Linked DNA regions of Oryzias latipes. The protein of the gene in region 3 interacts with the protein of the main gene of each other region in a biochemical or structural test. Links are inferred from orthologs where the notes say so. Each region holds a gene or a part of one and is shown on either strand. Other genes may lie near its edges.

Region 1 (4,720 bases), on a different chromosome or scaffold from region 3:
TCGTCTGAAACCACATACAGTGTGGTGGGGGATAATAAAACGGCTCTAAATTTGTTGGAATGGTTTATATGGAAAATTGCAACCTTTTATTGTGAAAATATGCCTCCTAAAGTTTTCTTTCTTTATGTTTTAGGTTTTATTACTAATAGTTAGCAGTCACTGACACTTGCAGGTTTTTTCCCCCACTGTTTTTTTTCTGTGCCCAATGGAAGAGGAGTGATGCCAAAATAAGAGTATCACAGGAAGTGACACGAGGCGCAGTGATGACAAACATGCTGCACAGGGTCAAAGTTTGAGTCCAAAACAGGAAGAAGAGAATAAGCAGTGATTGCACACACACACACGTATACAGTAGAGATGGGTAAATATTTCTAAAAAGTAAAAATAAATAAAAGAAAAAAAAATAAATTACAAAGAAAATACACGTGATGAAGGAGCAGCACAAAGAGGTCAGGCGCCATTCAGGAGGTTGGGGGTGGAGGGACGAGGCACTACAGAGACTGGCTCAGCGTTCAGGATCCGCAGGAAACTATAACCACAACCGCTTTCAGTGCACCTCATACGCCTCATACTCAGAAGGCCCCCGTCACCGCCACAGCCAGCAAATCAGAATCCTCAGTCACTCACGACAGATTGCCTGAGGGGCGGAATTTGTAAATGATAATGACTTTATATCACTTTTGGTTGCTATTAGGTAGCATGACATTACTATTCCTGTAACTGTGTAACTAATTCTCAAGGTTTCCAGTAGCCAACAAAATCTGTCCCTGAGACGTCTTGAGAAAAACAAAAAAGAATGGTGCAGTCATAAACTTGACACATGTAAGAAGGGACTAGTTACAGCACAGACCCCTGACATGTGCTGCTCCTTAGATTCAAACCATGGCCGAGGTTAGGCAAGAAAAAAACAAAAAAGAACAGCATTTTTAACAGTGTTTTGAAACATATTCATAGAAAAATGACAGTCTTTTTTCTTTCACTTTTTCATTTCAGAAACTGTCTACTGACCCATTGTTGGTTGTGCTCGCATTATAGATCCTAATCTGAAAATCAGCACCAACAACATCATATGATGAAGTAAACCCGGCAAAGATGTCCTGAGTGGGATGAGGTTTTTTTCCTCAGTCATTCTTTCATTTAGTTTGGATTTTTTTTCAGAAAAGAGGAAAAGCAAAGATTGCTTTGCAGGAAGCTCCAACTCAACTTGAGCCTGAAACGGGAGAGATAAATGGAGAAAACCGACATCCACTTTAGACTCCGGACTGTGCTCAGTCAGGCCTCAACACTGATCGGTTGCCGCCTTAAACGTGCATGCAAGTACATCTGAAATGTTGCGCTAATGAAAACCTTCATGCAAGACAGAAGCTGACTTGGTAACAATCGGAACTCTTCAAAGGTGGAAGTCTAGTGCAAAAACAGTGGATCCACAGCTCCACTTCAAAGGGCATGGAGGTCTGAAAGCAATCACATACGATGACGCAGCTAAAACTAAACTATTTGTTAGACACTGAGGGGCAAAAAATTATCAAACTAGAAATAAGAATTCAAAGTAAAAAAACAGAATCTAAATAAAAACAATAGAGTTGGCAAAACCGGATCATTTTGGGGAGGATTGCTCCTTTTAACAGTGTGCTTTAATCTTTTGTTCGAATTTAGTGCAAAAGCACCCATTTGTTTTTATCATTATGCCTTTAGTGTGCTACAACTACGACACTATGAATCGTCTGTCAGTAAAATTATCTAGACAAATGCATATCTGCTTATATTTGTGAGCATTAAGACATAACGGGGTCCTAATGTTACTTTAAAGGAAAACAGTAACATAGGATTAAAATCAAAGTGACAGAAATTGAGGTTTTAATCAAGTAGTTAAGCATTTTTTTTTACCAAATATACAATTTGAATCCACTGAAATTGTTGCCGCTGAGTGGTTTTAAAGGTTTTTCTTTCTTTGTGTGTTTTTATAAAGTTTGCCGATGGTTACTGATGGGTTTGCCTGCAAAGAAAGGTTCTGACAAGGTCTTTTTTGATTTTTGCATGCAGCTTATAGTAGATGCCTAAAATTATTTTACAGTGGGACAACTCTTTCATGTGCATAAACTGCAGGTCATTTCAGTTGTTTTGTCTAAAATTAATCAGGAAAGTCAATTTATTATAAAAAAAAATCATGAAGGCGTAATAAAAGGTAAGTTAATGATCAAAAAGATGAGGGGAAAAAAAGAACACCGCTGAGGTGGGGTGCAAAATGCAATGTTCTGAGACGCTGCGTCTTTGGGAGCTAGTAAATCCATTAAACTGATCCAACTGAGAGACTTCTGGACAAAAATATTAAAAAAAAAAAGCACAAACTCTTTCATTTTCTTTTCATGAAACCTTTGCTTGTTTTAAAAAATACTCAATTTTTCCTTCTTATAGAAAACACTGAATAAGGCATCCCCAGGGTCTGCAGAGGTCATTTATCGTGGGTCTATGTTAAGAGTGCAAAATTGAACATTAAACTGTACAAAACCAGCACACCACATGTATGACAAAATATTAACATTGTCCTTTAGAGGAATCTTGGGAGGATTATGGCATCTTCTTGCAAGAAACGCACGTGACCTTGTAAAAAAAAAAAAAAAAGAAAGTTGGATGTCTCCGTCCCGCGGCGACCTTTATTGTCTCCTCTTTTTTTCTCCCTCAAACAGACCCGTGTTACATTTGACAGTGCCTACAGGAGGCCAGTTCCTAACAGAGATGAAGGCATTGGACATAAGGGGGCGGATCCCCCTTACCTTTGTCCTGCACCCCCTGCTCCAGCAATAAAGCCTCTATCGAATAGAAGGCTGACGAGAGCCGTGGCGAGGCGCCACCACACCGGCCCCTGGTTCCTTTGGTTTCGATGATACTGAAAGGACAACAGAGAGAAAAAATTAAAGACACGCTCGATTTACGTTACTTTTATTTCAACCCAAATGTATTTTTCGGTTATTATATTGCAAATAATTTTTACTGTATTTTATTTATCTCTAACTTGATTTTATTTGAACTGGCATTCATGTATTTACCTGACTGAAAGAACTGTATATGTATATATTTATGGTTCTGATGCGCTCACTATTGACGACTAGATGTATATCTTCATTTTCCTTGCTCAAACTGTACAGCTTTTTGTCCTGACTTTGCTTATTAGAGAAGCTTCAGGATCCCTCCACACACTGCTGATCTTCCCAACAGAAACTCCAAGTCATAAAAAACAGTCATCAAGCAGTTGCAGCTTTTTTTTTTTTTTTCTGGCAGAAGCCAGCAGCTGAGGAGGAGACTCCCAAAGCTTTGCGAGCCAATTGGATTGTGTGCGATTAGAGGGATAATGCTATCTCGGCCATTGAGACCTGAGATAAGATAATTGCACCAAATGGGATTAAGGAGGGGGGGGGGGGTGATGAGAGGCAGGCAGTCTGTGGAAAACCTGTATCTGCATGAGAGAGCTACAGTAGTCTAACAGCTCATCTGACGACAAAAGGCAGACTCCAACCACGTCTGATAAAGAGTGCAGCTATTTTCAACCCATCAGAGCAGTCAAGTGAAGACGAGGAGTTTTTATGACCTTCTTGAAAGCTATTTATTCTTATTTGTGAGACAAAATAACTGTAGGCAAGGTTAGATGTTCACTTGTCTCAGCGTGGTAACCTAACCTTGTTCTAGTTAGTAGCCAGGAACAGTGGTACGCTGGCGGGTTTATATTGCTGACTCTTATCAGTTTAATGGCTAACATTGCGTGGTGTTGCATAAGCACTGACAGTTTCCCGACAGCATGACTTTATCGCACTTGCCACTTGTGAAGAAAAGAATTATGGAAACGGCTTCCATGAGGTTCTCTGTGGCACGCGATGTTTGGGGCAAACTTTGGCTATATTGAAAGAAAAGTGCAAAGAAAGTGATGCAGCGCCATAAACTCCAAGACACAACAAAGACTGAACAATGTTGTTGTCAAAAGAGGAAGTCACAGGTAAACTAATATCTCCATCAGTTTGAGACGTTTGATGACGACAAGTTTCAATGTTTTTTCTAAGAGACTGCAGAACGGAAAGTGGAGTTTCTTTACCATCTATTTGAGAGGTCATTTGTCTTTACAGACAGAAACAAATTGTACCTTTGAGCTTTTACACTCAGCTCTGTCAGCTTAAGTGATACTCAGATAAATAGTCAAAGACAGAAAAGGGGAGGGAAAACAAAAGGTGGGTGCGAGCCCGTCACATATTACTCGTGGCTCATGCTGCCAGCTGTCAAAAATGAGTCCTGGCTTCCAAATTTAGCTCCGGACGGGAAAGCCAGATTCTCTGTGTCGTCACTCTGACACAAGCCTGATGGGTTTTTATCAGGGTCCACTGCAGACTGTCTGTTAAGACAGCTGCTCAGAGGCCCGGCTTTATCGTTTGAGTAAACAGCACACCCTTTATAGAAAGAGGCTCTAGATCAGTTGGATCAGCAAAAAGAGAAAGGTCAATGATAAATGCAAAATAGACAAAAACACATAGGCCACTGATGATATCATTAAGCACTAATGAAAAAGTACGTCTTTGGGTAAAAATTCTTTTTTTTTAACAAGTTATGATAAGAAAGAGTGCCACACTGACAGGAGCAGAGATAAACGGACACACAGCCACAGGCGATATTCAGCCTTGCTTTCAACACCTCCCTTCCAAAGGACCAGGAGTTGTCTCCTTTAAAAAAACATGGG
Region 2 (4,615 bases), on a different chromosome or scaffold from region 3:
CCCTAGAAAGCAGAGTGCTGGGAAAATAAAATCCAGAATTTCCCAAGAACTAATCTTCTTAAATAACAAATTCGACTTTATCAATAAAAATCGATTTCTTGTCCAACCCCAATTGAGAAAAGTACTCAAACACAATTTTAAGCTCACTTTTCCTTAAATATTTTCCCCATCATGAGAAAAACATGTTTTGTAATTAGATGGATCTTTGAAGCAGTATCATATTGCCTCCCATTTTTATTTCTGCTTATGTTTAATATCCTGCCATCACAATAACCTGCAGCTGGTAGTTAAGTCATTTACTTTTTGTTGCTCTATCACCTTAGCTTCATAGAAAAGTGACCCTTAAAAGCTATTAAACTTTTTGTTGACATATGACAAAGTTTTTTCTATAGCAGTCGTTCTTTTCAATGTTAGTTTATTTTCTGTCAGCTTGAGTCTCTGCCTTTTTGCCCTTATTTGTACGCTTAAAGCCGGTGACCTAACAGTTTCTAATAGTGTTGTAGAATCTAGAGGCCTTCTTTTTAATCGTTTGATGGTTCCAGTTTTGCACGCTACTGCCTCCTTGTGGCTAGAGTTACACATTACCACCTGGAGTAGGTAACGGGTTCGTAGTTTTAACATACAGGATCGAAGCTGCTCCGGTTCTTTGTTGTTACTTTAAGATTTTTTACATGTTTTTTTTTTCATCGTTGATTAATTAAATTAATCATTTTTTCATCTTAAACTGGGATTTAGACATTTTTAGTTTGATTAGCTAAATTCTTGGGTTTAAAAAAAAAATTAATGTCCACCAAAACAAGAACATGTTTTAATTCTTTTTCCCTGTGCAGATGTTTTAATTGTTTGACAAAAGCTTAAACTTCTTGGGTTTTAGGCCCCTTGGATCACATTAACCCTTGTGCTGTTCTAGGCACTTTAACATTGGGAGTTGGGTCATCTAGACCCACTAGACAGTGCACTGAACCTTTTTTCTTCAATGATTTGTGATCTTCTCTGGTGTCCATGGATTACATGAAATCCTCTTCACCTTTATCCACCTTTGTCATGGTAGGAGGAACACGTCAATGTAAGGGTGGGGTCATCCAAGATAGCACGAGGGTTCAAAGGATTTGGTTCACTTAATACTTTCCACCAGCAGGTGGCAGAGTTCATACAAGTTTGCCCACCTTATCAGACTAACTTCACTGCTTTGCTAAAGGCTCATGTTTGTGACTTGTCCAGGTAACCCAGTGGGTCCCACAGGTTGCTGTGTGTGTCAGAAGAGCCAGGGACCCAGGACGCCGTGTTCTCAGTGTGATCGACTGGCGTGTTCATCCTGTGTCCGACAGTGCTCCAACTGCTGCAGCTTATGCTGCTCTGTCTGCACCATCTTAGAGTAAGTTGAAAACTTGAAACTAAACTCTGTTCACCCGTCTCTATACAAAAGCCCGTTAAACTTTGATTGAAAGCCTCTTTACAGTTATTGTGCCTCATTGTTGTAACAAATGTTCATTTTAATCAAAAATCTATTAAGTAAAAAGCAATTTGTTTCTGCAAGTCTGCCACTCCTAAATTACTGTCATATTGATATTCACCTGTTGACTCCTGCTGATTAAATGACAGCCAGAGTGTTTTTCAAAGCCTTAAAGAGCCACTAGATTATTCTTATCATGCGATCAAAAATTGGGCCCAATCATGTCGTTTCAGACTTGATCGGAATTGAATGTTGAATCCCGATCATAATCAGATATTCATTTTATCCTCATTATTATGATCAGTGCCATATATTGGAATCTTATTACAACAGATATATTTTCTGCGCTTGGCCCATGTTCACAATGTTTTCTAGTGCATGTCTGCCCCCTTCATTGAAAGAGGCTTGGTGTGAAATGTCAATGGTGCAAATCTGGTGAATCTTGCTCCAGGCTTTTTCCTTCACAGCTCTGTTCCGATACACGAAAGACCTGGTGTCATAGAATTCCTGCTTCCTTAAAACACAAATATTCATTTCTCTTCCATGGTCATTTTTCATACAGTCGGCCTCTTCTGTGAATGAAAAGGGACGCCAACGATACTTCACTTTTACATCTAAGGCCCTGATTGCTCAACGTTTGACCTGGTTTAACTTTCAACGCTCGTTCATTTGCTACACATGTTTTTTACATGGAGGCTAAAAACGGCCGTAGAAACTTGCACAGCGATGCGTGAACGCCAGGGTCATGAACTTCATTGGAACTGGCCGCTTGAACCTGAGTTGCAGAGTGTGGTGTGAACGTAGCTTTAAGATCATTGGATGTTGGTTGGAAAAGCTCGTGAATGTAAACGATCCTTCAGGTTTGGTTCAAAGACTTACAAATATGTTTCTGTCAATATAAGTAAACCCCTGATTGATTTGAAATGAAACCTAAAGAAGGTTGCTTTAACTTTAATGCATTTCCATTAAAAATGAACCAGGACAGTGTTTTTTCTTTTGGTTTTATCCTAAATAATGCATGTTGGAGATTCTATTTACTTATGGAGTTTAGTCATATTGGTTGACGTCAAATCCTTCGATCTGTCAAACCGTTGGTGCTCACTCACAGCTGCCACGACATGAAACATGCAGTAAAAACCAAAATCAGCAATAACTAATAATTAACTCATAATTACTCAAATGAACACAGTTTTCCATTTTTATTAAGAATAAATAGAATTTCTTTAAACAACTGGTCCTCCCATCCTATTTTAAGATTTAGGTATCTTGATCAATCTTCCTGTCTTCCCTTAAGGGTATTGTTTTATTTCTGTTTTTTTCCATAATTTTCTTTTGACTACAACATTTCTTGAATCCAAACTAAAGAGGATGAAGCTTCACACAGGAGGAAGCATACTTTAGAAGCTGAAAGTGGGACTCTTCGCTTTCAGTCAACTGTAGTTAAAGTTTTTTGTTGTTTTTATACATTCCTAATCATAAATCACATTGAATTAATGAAGAGGCTGTTTGAATCATAACGTGAGGAATCTTTCATGTGTTGCAGTTACAGCGGGCGGTACGATGAAGTACTCTGCTGCGGCTGCTCTACGTAAAGGAAGACCAAAGGCTGGAACACAAATGTATATTTAAACACTGTAATTGCATTAATTGATATTTTATACCCTTTTTTTCTTAATTCATGTTTATGTAAATATTGTCATTTGAAGGTTTGATTGAATAAACTTGAACCCTTTTTAGAAACGTTTTTGTGATTGTGGTTTTGTATTGTCTATTTTACCTTTTAATAGACACACAAATATAGAAAAAGGAGCTCAACATGGAGCTAGAAGGTTTGGGATGACTGCACAGCGGCAGGAGGTCGCGCCCTCCATACTCGGTGGAGGAATAAACCACCCAAACTTAGAAAGTATTCCTAATCCACTCCTTGAATGTACCAAAGAACAACATCTGACTCCTTGTATTCTGACTGACACTGATAATCAAATTGCAGCTTGTCCACACTGACCTTGTACATCTACTATCAAATGTATTTCAAATAAAACAAGTGCTGAGCGGTAAAGCAGGCTGCAGTCATCCCTGCTGGACGTGACCTTTGGGTGGAGTCATCTCTTTCAGTTGGCTGCTGCTCATCGCAGACGACGATCCGTTTCAGGGTCAGATGCTGAACGCTCTGAGTAATAGTTCTTCATGGCAAAGGTCCACAACGGGACTTTAGAAAAGTCTCGTCTTGTGACACTGTTATGGATACGGGCTGGGATGAGTGAGTGCATGTGAGCTTTTTAGTCACATCGGCTGCTCAGCGGCCCAGTTGTGGCCCCCGTCTTTTGGGAGCTCTTGCAGTTGGTGGCCCAGGGCACCGCTTGATTTCTGCTTGAGTGAGCAGACAGCTGCTGGCAAAGGGTGGCGTCAGGTTGTCTGCACATTACCCGATAAGACTCATGAATACGGAATACTTGAAAGAAAAACATTTATTGTTGAAGTCTGAACAGTTGATGTCATGGCCGCAAGAAACGCCGCGACTGATGCTGATCAGATGGAAGAAATCACAGTTCCTGCAACTTCTCATTTAGTCTTCGACCAAGCGCCCGTCTCTTCTCCTTACAGAGCTTTGAAGAAAACAGAGTTGTCAGGCTTTTCCGTGCATATTTATCCATGCAACTTAAAGGTCATGTTGTACTTTTCTTGCCAAGAATGCTCCTCAACTCCCCCTTGCTACATGTGTGTCTGTAGGGGGGTGGGGGGTGCAGATAATCACCCACGGCGCTCCAGACAGCACCAACTGCAGCAAGCCAGCAGGAGCACGTGGCTTTGTCTTTCACCCATTCTCTTGGGGACCAGCTGTGGTCTGAGTGCGGCGAGCATCAAGTCCAGTGATGCTGCTGCTATTAATATGCATCAATGAGTGTGAGTAAGTGACAGCTGTACAGTGGACCAAGGACACACTGCCTTGGCACAGTCGGGGCCAACCTGTCCAAAAAAGGCAAACCCAGTGTGAGAGCTAAGATAAGTTGATATGGATTTATGCTCCAGCGGTAGTCTGATTTTGGGTTGTCCCGTGGAACTTCAAATCTGCCCTAATGTGGGGTGGGTGGGGGGGGGAGTGGCAGGAGGAGTGCAGAAAAGGCTCACATGTGGCTTTTATAAGCAGAGAAATTTGGAACT
Region 3 (5,276 bases):
TGATAAAACACTGAGTAGTTAGGAATATAAACGATCATAAAATACTTTTTTCTTTGTGTTTATTTGATTCTATTAAAGACATTTTGATAAGAATGACGCGAAATAGCTGCAGCTATAACTGTGTAAGGAAAAGTCCCGCAGCTTTTACTGTCTCCACGACTCCACCAATCATTCTTGAAGGCTTAATCACATGTCATCAGTCTGACCAATCAGAAGTGGTTAAAGTCTCCACTTCCTTGTTCCAAATTAGCTCATAACTCAGTCAGTTCCGACAAAAACACCAGCTAAAGCTCGTCTTTAGCGGTGTAGCTTTCCACAGAATCCGGTATCAGACCGTGTAACAAGTGAACAAAACCATGAAGCTCAGAGACGCGAGTCTTTCTGCCGTTTTCTCGCAGTTTTTACACTACATCTCCCATGATGCATTGGCTTAAAGGGACAGCGTCTTGAAAACACAACGAACATACAGCTTGTATGTAACTTAACTTTTATTACATCTTTTAGAAAAACATCTGCAACTTCCTGCTTTTTCTGCCACAATTATCACAAAAATGCACGTCAGATTGCCGGGGGGGGGGGGGGGGGGGGGGGGGGCTGTAAATCAAAACAGACTATGAGTTTCTGCTTCTTTTTTTTTTTTGGGATGCTGGTGTGCCGCGGGATTTTTGTCAAGGTTAAAGTGTGCCGTGGCTCAAAAAAGGTTGAAAAACACTGAACTAGAGCAATCCATCAATGCTGAGGCATTATAGAGCTCAATGTGGCAGCACAGAATATGAAAATCCTCATGGGAGTCTTTGACATGTTCAAAAATAGTCTTTGTGTGTGTTTGCAATATTATTAATAAAAATTAAGCTTTAAACTAAAGATTTTTTTTTAACTTGCAGTTCCTAACAAGCAACGGATGAGGCCACGGTGAAGATGATCACGAAAGACTGTCAACCACTCATTGCTGTTGAAGATGAGGGATTCAAGGGTTATTGCACTTTCATACGAAGTCCTACCAAGAGAAATCATTTTGAAACAAAGACTACAAAAACTTTTGTTTCTTATTAAAATGTATGAATGAATCCATTTTTAGACTGTTATTCTGTGTGTAAAGTAAAAGATTAAAAAAAACGGCGAGCGGATGCATCAGAATGGAGCAGAGCAGGGAGCTTGTGACCTACTGATTGTAGTTTCTGTCACAACTACAGGCTTTTTTTGTCTTCTCCTGATTCACAACATTTTGAATAAAGAAATACTCAAAAATTGCAGTTTAAAAAAATATATATATATATATATATCCTCCATCATGAGAAAAATGTTACAAAAACATGTTGACATGATCCCATTTTAATTCAAGTGGGGCTTTAACAGTTTCAGAATTACTGCAGGGGTCACTATAGAGGAATCAACACTTTGTCAATACAGTGTTGAGAAATTAACACTCCTTTAGGCATCATCATCCCATCACTATATCACTGTAATTCCACTGCTATTTCCAAAGGATGTCTAAGCTTTGTTTTTATCATAAATGTTATAAATGCTTAGTAAATCTTTAATGGGCTCATATCAAGCAAATTCAACTTTTTGAGCTTTTAAGTTACTGTAATGTTAATTTCTCACACAAAAAATGAGTCGTCTCACTTCCAGGTAGAAAATAACTTGAAAATAATAAGAAATTCTTATTTTGTGTGCCAAAGGTAATATATGATCCTATATATGAAAATAGTTTACTCTAAAATGCTTCGACAAAGCGTAATATAGGCCCTTTAAACAGACTTGACAGGGAGTTTTCAAACACCATCCACTTCACTTTAAAAAAAAAAAAAAAAAACAATCTCCATGTAAATGTCTAAGATGTTGGTTTTTCCTCTTCAAAAAAAATAGATGGAAGAATGTTTTCTGCTGAACGTAAATCAGATTTGAAACTATAAAAAAACAGAAAACTGGGTTTCTGCCAAAATGCTTAACTTTTGACTTAAAGTGGCTTCTGGAGAATCAGGACTTAGGAAATTCTTTTACAGCTCCACAGTTCCAATAAGTAAATGTTGCTTTTTTTTAAAAGTTTTAAAGTTATATAAAGGATCAGAATGAAAGATGACTATAGAGATGCAGCAATTAACTAACTCTGTCAAAAAAACAAACAGGATAAAACAGAACTTTGAATGTCAAGAAAACTGAAGATATGGACTCAACAATGAAAACATAAACTTACAGACACCGTCCACTTGATCCTGGACCAACATTAAAAAATCATGACTATGTCAGGAAGAGACTCACCCATCCTCCATGACTGTGGATCCATGGACTTATTTGCTCATCCAGGTACTGGGTCATCCATTCAGCAATGCGGGAGACCAGCTCACCCATATTCCTCTCGACACACTCGACACACAGCGCACCACCAAAGACAAACAAACCCACAACGCGCCCCCAGTTGATCCCATCCTTGAACAGCTCATCCAACACCCTTTTGAAGTTTTGGTAGGCCGTGTCTGGAGTGATATGAAGCTGCACGGAGAGATCACTAAAACCTTGATGGAAACGACGTTCAAACTCATCGGCCGAATCTTTGAGAGTTGATTTGATGGCGTCCATGCTAGCACAACAGGGACAGGACCTCCTCAGCCGGCCGTCCTCACTGCTGACCAGCCTGCGATTCCGGGCATCGGAGTGGTCCTCTTCAGTTTCTCCCCCATCGTCTGTGGGCTTCAGCAGGGACACAGGATAGTCCCTGCATGACATCTTATAGGCTAAATAGAACCGGACCAGCTCTCTGTTACAGTGGGACATTGTGTGAGCTTGAACCTCCAGTGTGAAGCCAACCTACTCAGATGCCATGATTTCTTCCACTTAGTCATCTGTCACGTCAGAGATTCTTTATGCAACCTGCAAGCACACAGCAGGCAAAGTGACTTTATCCTTCTATGCAGCTTATGCATCAGGTTTAGAACAGGTTTTTAGAGAATCATCAGTTTAAACTGATGAATCATCAGTTAAAATCATCAGGTCTTTAGAGAATTTCCCCATTGTGAGATGATTAAGCTAAATAAAGTTTTATCTAATCTAAAACATATTTGACTTTGATGGCTAAACTTAATTATATGCTTTCACTTTCGCACTACTAAATAAATGTTTAAACAATCGGAACAAACTTAACAGCCAGGGTTAGCTAGTCTGCAAAACGTTAGAGCAAAAATGAAACGAAAACTATGATAGCAAGAAGTCACCCGCTTTACCTAACAATTCACATTTCAACCTTAGCTAAATAGATTAATCTTACGACGCGTATAGTATCAAACAAATGTCTCTACGTGTCAACTTTTTAACCCTTATTTTTATATACAAGCCTGTTAGCCTCGCGTGCTAAACTACCTGCTAAGGAAACACAACAACGGCGTAAGCGCGTCGAAAGCACAGCTATAGTGTTTGTTTGTTGTTGTTTTTGCTTTAATAAATCATACTTACAGCAGTTTTAGGATTTATTTTGTGTTGACTGAGCATTCTGATCAGGTAATATTTAAACAAGAGCCCAGAAATACATATATTTTTTGTAACAGTCTCTTACTTTGACACTAAAGTGACGTACACTGGAAGAGAGCCAATCGAATAACTGAATTAGACACAAGTCCCGCCCTCTTCTGCTTTCCACCAATCATCAAATCTGGATTTCCGACCTGGTTGCTCCTATTTTCTTCATTCAGTGTCGAGTGACAGTTGTAAACGGGAACAAACATGTGAGCAAAATCTTATTTTTAACGTGTTCTTGTAGCGTTTTTCTGATTATGGAGAGCATATATGAAGACATTTAAGTATAAAATTACATTCCCGGCAATATCTTTATGCAAATCGCTGTGAGTCAGGTGAAAAGAACTTTTCTTGTGACGTAGAAAATACGCTGGGCAGCCCAAAAACTATTTTCCCTGGGAGGGAAGGTGGGGTTGTAACTTGCAAATGCTCCTGCCGACTTCCTGAGGCAAAATTTTAATGAACTACTGCCACCGTGCAGAAACTGTCCCAAAAAGCAGATTTTTTTCAATTTTATTTTAGTGTATTAAAAAAAAAACATTATCATAATTACTGGGAATGCTTTGGAAATATCACTAAAGATGATCGGAGTGGGATTTTTAAATTTATCCAACATAAAACTACGTAAGCATAGCTTAACGCCGAAGTTCAGTTCATGGAGCCAATTCATCCTTGTAGGAACGCATACCATAAAATTCCAAGATTATAAGAAAAATGTAAAAACTGATCACTACTGCCTTATTACCCAACACAATCATTAAGCTGAGCTTAAGTGTTAAGAATTGTCCTTACCTACTTGATAAAAGCTAGTCAAATTTTGTTTAAACTAGATTTTCCTGAATAAAGATTCTTAATTAAAAACTTAAATTAGGAAATTATACTTTGGTAGAGACAGGGTACAACAAAAAAACTTTTAATAACACATCATATAATCATTTACATACACTTTTAACATATTTTACATTTTCTAAAAGTGAATAACCAAAATTCATCTTAGCTGAGTGGAAAAAAGTAAACAAGTAAAATATTACAAAGATGTGACAAAACCCAGTAAATACAAAATGCAAAGAAACTAACAATGACATAAGTATATACAAAACGACTAACATGATGTTTCATGAAATACGGTATTATGTAGCATAGTCCCTTAAATGAATGCGTTCAGAAAGGTAAGAGTTTCAATTTTGTTTTTATGGTGTCATTGGAGTTCTTGTTTTAAATGTAAACTCCACTAAAACTAACAGCTTTATGTTGAACACAAGCGGCTCACACCAGCATTTTCTTTATTTCCTTGCAAAGAACTTTCATTGTCATCGTCATGTCTCGCAATTTTTTTCTCACCTTGAATTGAGATCCAATTTGGTTTCTCATCTTGCAGTGAACTTTCATTTTCTTCCCCATTTTGCAGAGCGCTCTCCTTTTCTCCAGCGTTTTCTGTGACATCTTGGAGAGAGCTTTCCTCAATTTCTTCCTCGTCTTGCAGAGGGCTTTGGCTTTCTCTCTCATTTGGCTTTGAATTTCCACTGTCTTTCTCATCCTGCTGAGGACTTGGAATTTCCTTCTCATCCTGCTGAGGACTTGGAATTTCCTTCTCATCCTGCTGAGGACTTGGAATTTCCTTCTCATCTTGTGGAGGACTTGGAATTTCCTTCTCATCCTGCTGAGGACTTGGAATTTCCTTCTCATCCTGCTGAGGACTTGGAATTTCCTTCTCATCCTGAGGAGGACTTGGAATTACCTTTTCATCCTGAGTAGGACTTGGAATT
Region 4 (4,720 bases), on a different chromosome or scaffold from region 3:
TTGGTGTTGAAATAGAAAAACAAATTTCACAAAAAAATCATTGAGTTTAAATTATAATTGCAAGGATGTTGTTTTAGTTAGGTTGTTTCAGGATCAGATTTAGTATTTTGGTAGTAAAAGTTTCAGCTTGTCGAAAATCATCAACACCAAATTCCACCGACCAAACTGCAAAGTATTTCAACCTCGAAAAGATTAAATTTACAGCTGCAAATGTCATTTTTCCTAGGCCTACACAATATACCGCAAATTTATCGTTATCGCGACATCAAGCTGTGCAAAATGCATACCGCAAAAGACGGCGAAAATTGCAATAAACGGTTACCTTAAATGTGCTAAAACATACTCATGGCAGCTTGAAATATTGAACAAATGAAATAAATCCCTTTATGCATTTAACCAATCAGAAGGACCCGTTTACGTTGTTGATCAATCAGATGAGCCCTTTTATGTTTGATGTTTGCCTCCTACGTCAACAAGGGTCAGAGGGAGTATAATTTTAAACCGTTGCAGTGAAATGGAAATGATGTTTTTGGTTGTTTTGCCATTTGTTTATGTACCACAAATTACCGTAAATTCCGGACTACAAAGCGCACCCAATTACAAGCCGCACCCACCCATTTTCACGTGTTTGACTGCTTTTATACATACACAAGCCGTGTCAGAGTACAAGCCGCACATGTGTTAGGCGATATTGTCATCCTGACAGATCAAGGCCAGCATCCCAGAGTGAGTGTGATTCATTAGCACATTGTGGGTGGTGCCAGTTTTGCCTCTGGCTCATGTATTTGAGTGTATCGACATCTGTCATACAGCATGGACCTCTATTCTGTTCACAAGTTCCTCAGTTATGGTGTTTTTATTTCATTTTTTTTTAACTTATTGACAATCTAGATATCATACATAAAATTACAAACAGTAACCATATAATCAACATTACATCCCTCAGTTATGATGAGGAAATTTACATCCGCGATTCCACATTTCCCATGAGTCTTAGGGGCTAAAGGCGGGGCCAATGCCCGGCTCGCCATACTGTTGTACGTGTTTAAGAATGAGTATCAGCAGTGCATGGAGGGGTGAACGGGTACAGCTCTCCTTCCGCTTGTGTCGCGCAGCGTTATGGGAGTAACAGGACTGGTTAAAAAACACACTAGTAAAATAAAGCAGCGACGACTGAAAAGCGCGCGCCTCAGCGCGATACGCGCGCCTCAGTGCGGCGCGTGCGTCAGAATTCAGAAGCCTCTGCGCTCCGCTCCCGCCCCGCGCGCTCCTTGTCTCCCCTTCCTATCTACTCCGACACCTCTGGCCAGGGCGGCTTCAAGGAGGAGCACTTCGTCCCCGTTGCGCCGGTGTAAGGAGCAAATAGTTTCTGTGCAAAGCAATCGGACTTAATACTGTACGTTTTGTGTATGAGGGGCGGATGCGTTGTTACGTGTGGGAGCCATCAGACTGCCATCGGCCCCGCAGCTCAATCAGCAGGAGAGTTTTTCAAAGCAAAATTCCGCTTTTACGGTTTCCTTAGAAACCGTAAATGGAGTGTAAATTCACTCCATGCGCTGTTCTCTCCGTCATGCAGCAAACCGGCTTTTCCAAACCCGTTGGTGACGGTGGACTTTTTTACGCTGCTTTTAACGATTGCTTTTAACTTGAAAGCTTCATCATAATGTAGCGGCGATCACGTGCACGTTGGGTCTAATGGCCCCAAAGGATTCTGGGATGCGGCCGGGCATGCGTGTTTCGTTTTGTTGAACCATGACTGAAGTGTCTAAGACCTGAAGTCAAGTCCATGCTGTTTGGCTGCTAAGAGGTGTGTTGAATATAAATGCCTTGTGCTAGAATTCAAACTATTCACTGAGTTCGAAAGTACGTACATGGCGGCCGCCAATTAAATCCATAAATTAGCCGCGTCACTGAATAAGCCGCAAGGCTGTAAGCGCAGGAAAAAAGTAGCGGCTTATAGTCCGGAAATTACGGTATATCGTCATCGCAATATTAATCACCAATATCGCGAGTTTTCCTCATATGGTGCAGCCCTAATTTTTCCTATTCAGGTAGAAAATTCCCAAACTAGAAAGTAGCTTCACTCACCTGGCTTCAGAGTCTGAGTGTAGCCCAGACCCACGAGGCTGGAATTGTTCACCTTGGCCTGAGAAAGAACAGAGTTTAGCAACGTTAGAGCGGCTGAACGGGCTTTTATAGACACTTCAGTCTCACAGCCAGAGAGTCCTGGTTTGAATCCCAACTGGGTCCTTTCTATGTGAAGTTAGCATGTTCTCCTCGTGGGGGGGGAGTGTTTCTGGCTTAATGGCTTCCTCCCACAGTTCAAAAGCATTCTTTGTATGTTAATTGGTGCTTAGCTGTGAATGCGAGTGTGTAGTTGTTTGACTCTTTGTGGACTATGGACTGGCAAACTGTCCAGGGTGCAACACAACTGTAAATAAAGTAATAGGGATAGGCTCCAGCATCCCCATGACCCAAAACAGGAGGTAGGAGGTGTAGAAGATGGATGACTGCATTCATGAACAATTGAATACATTTTACTTACAAGTCAAGTAGGTTTAAAGTTAAGTGGGTCAAACAGAGATAAAAAAACTAAACATTTTTCCCTCTTCCTCTACTGACTTTCTGCTCAAACTTTTCAGAATAAAAAAAAAACAAAAAAAACAAAAATCCATCCATCCATCTTCTTCTGCTCATCCAGGACCGGGTCACGGGGGCAGCTGTCTAAGCCAGGGGTGTCAAACTCATTTTGGTTCGGGGGCCACATTCAACCTCTCTGATCTCAAGTGGGCCAGACCAGCAACATAAAAGCAAAATAACAGTTTTGTTTTTTTTTGTCATTTGGAAAAAATGCCTCAACCAACATGGTAGTCTATTATTTATTAATACACATTCATTCACAGAGGCCAAAAGGTCAATAGCTTTTAGGGAACAAGACTTCTGCAGCCTCCAGCATTTTTCTATAAGTTCACTATCTGAAAATGGTTTGGATGTTTGCTCCAACTTGTCTGCAATCAGGTGTCTGTCACTGCTCCATCACTGACGTCACGCTGCAGTAAATGCAGACGGTTGGTCTTCAGTCCAGCTAATAGTTGGTAAATCTTCTCTTTTCTTAACTGCAAATGGTGAAAATTTTCTTTATGGTGAGTCTCATATGTGCTGAATGTTGTATTCTTTGAGCCCTGTGACCTGTTGATGACGTAACAAGCAGGCAGGTTTTGCATTCGGCTCCATGAACAAATAATTCCTGGAAAGCTCAGCACTCCACTTCAACCTTTCTTTCTTTTTGACAACATTTTGGTCATTATTGTGTCACTACTGATCATTCTCATAGCAATGTAACAGCGGTGAGAATCTAAGAGAACCAAAATACATCTTACCCACACCCAAAGTTGTTAGGATTCACTTTTGAGAAATGCTGTTTCACCTGCTTTGCTTTTGCTTTTCTCCCCCTAGTGGCGGAATTGCGCACTTCGGTTATTTCTTTAAAAAATCATAAATGGGCAAAGGAATGGACTAGAATTTTAAGAATTTTTTTGTTTTTGTTTTTAAAACATCCTAAATTCTTTTACTTTTCATGACTGGGCCAGATTGAACCATCTAGTATATGTTTGACACCCCTGGTCTAAGCAAAGATGCCCAGACTTTACATTTGTCCGTGGAGAGGGAAGATGAAAACGTTATTAAAAAATACATTTAAATACAATTTTTTTTGTGCAACAATTGTTTATATGCAATGCATTGTGGTCTGTATATTTGCAAATCTAGTTAGCATCGATTCACACTGGTTTTCCGCAGAGACTTTCTAGGGCACTCGATTTTGGAACTGTAGATTCGTAAAAGCACCACAAAATGGTGAACAACCAAATAGAGCACTATGTAGTGAGTAGTGAAGGAATTCAGACATACTCAGTTACAAGACTTTTGGGTAAACAGGTTCAGATTATAAACAACCAATCAGAGTAATTAGCTCTGAGGGGGATTTAACCGAGGCTCAAGTTGGAGATAATTCAGTTGAAGCCCGTCTGTTCCAGACAGACTCTTCCTTTTGAACCTTTTGGCAGAAGTTCCCCTGCATTCCTATCTTGAAGACCTAACATACCATGCCAAGTTGGTCAGCAGAGGCAGTAGAGTGTGTAACTAAGACAACAACATTGTGAAGACCCCCATAGAAAAGGCTACTCACAGAAAAAGATGCGTCTGGATCAATCTGATACTTGGCAGCAATGCCAAAGCGAGTGTTGCTGTTTCCAGCTGTCCAGGACAGGTTGACGGCTGTCTCCAGCTGCTCGTTCACCTTCTGGTAGATGGATCCACCAAACTCTGTGCCATCATTTCTGAGGAGACATAGAAATATGTTGAACAGTGAGAAGGAAAAGGCATTTTTCCCTGTGGGGAACACTAGATGCTATAAACGAATGAAATGTGTTTTCGATGTTCCCTAAAATATCTTGGCGGTCTAGGACTGTGACATTCGTGGCAACGCACCACACTCAGGTGGACTTTCACCGATGCAAAGCCTGCATTAACCTCCGTCTCACCTTACATAACCACTTCAGCGGGGAAATAAACCCGGCTTTGCCAGAGGGGTGCTGCACGAACACTCTACCTTGTCCTTCCCTTCTGCCCCCTGAGACTGGCCCAGTCTGCCAATCACACTCACATATAGTAAATCCCATCACCTGGGTATAAAAATACCTCACTGGCACCTTCGTGCATG

Evidence for each region.
Region 1: the proteins of bcl-2-like protein 1 (region 3) and bmf interact in a test that uses a peptide from one of them, tested with the Homo sapiens proteins (2 studies listed by BioGRID). The link is inferred for Oryzias latipes from reciprocal best matches to the Homo sapiens genes BCL2L1 and BMF.
Region 2: the proteins of bcl-2-like protein 1 (region 3) and siva1 form a complex in vitro, tested with the Homo sapiens proteins (2 studies listed by BioGRID and IntAct). The link is inferred for Oryzias latipes from reciprocal best matches to the Homo sapiens genes BCL2L1 and SIVA1.
Region 4: the proteins of bcl-2-like protein 1 (region 3) and vdac1 form a complex in vitro, tested with the Homo sapiens proteins (4 studies listed by BioGRID). The link is inferred for Oryzias latipes from reciprocal best matches to the Homo sapiens genes BCL2L1 and VDAC1.

Annotation. Positions count from the first base shown.
Region 1 is NC_019880.2:14,499,180-14,503,899, forward strand, and holds part of bmf (bcl-2-modifying factor), read right to left. Parts: intron 2,888-4,720; coding exon 2,771-2,887; 3' UTR 1-2,770. UniProt on the Homo sapiens protein: May play a role in apoptosis. Isoform 1 seems to be the main initiator.
Region 2 is NC_019880.2:14,647,741-14,652,355, forward strand, and holds the end of siva1 (apoptosis regulatory protein Siva), read left to right. Parts: intron 1-1,221; coding exon 1,222-1,375; intron 1,376-2,996; coding exon 2,997-3,045; 3' UTR 3,046-3,197; downstream 3,198-4,615. UniProt on the Homo sapiens protein: Induces CD27-mediated apoptosis. Inhibits BCL2L1 isoform Bcl-x(L) anti-apoptotic activity. Inhibits activation of NF-kappa-B and promotes T-cell receptor-mediated apoptosis.
Region 3 is NC_019863.2:26,339,063-26,344,338, reverse strand, and holds the start of bcl-2-like protein 1, read right to left. Parts: upstream 3,683-5,276; 5' UTR 3,451-3,682; intron 2,872-3,450; 5' UTR 2,844-2,871; coding exon of another isoform or gene 2,813-2,843; 5' UTR 2,776-2,812; coding exon 2,263-2,775; intron 1-2,262. Other genes in the region: activity-dependent neuroprotector homeobox protein, read right to left, coding at 4,757-5,276. UniProt on the Homo sapiens protein: Potent inhibitor of cell death. Inhibits activation of caspases. Appears to regulate cell death by blocking the voltage-dependent anion channel (VDAC) by binding to it and preventing the release of the caspase activator, CYC1, from the mitochondrial membrane.
Region 4 is NC_019872.2:4,165,666-4,170,385, reverse strand, and holds part of vdac1 (voltage-dependent anion-selective channel protein 1), read right to left. Parts: intron 4,338-4,720; coding exon 4,187-4,337; intron 2,147-4,186; coding exon 2,089-2,146; intron 1-2,088. UniProt on the Homo sapiens protein: Non-selective voltage-gated ion channel that mediates the transport of anions and cations through the mitochondrion outer membrane and plasma membrane.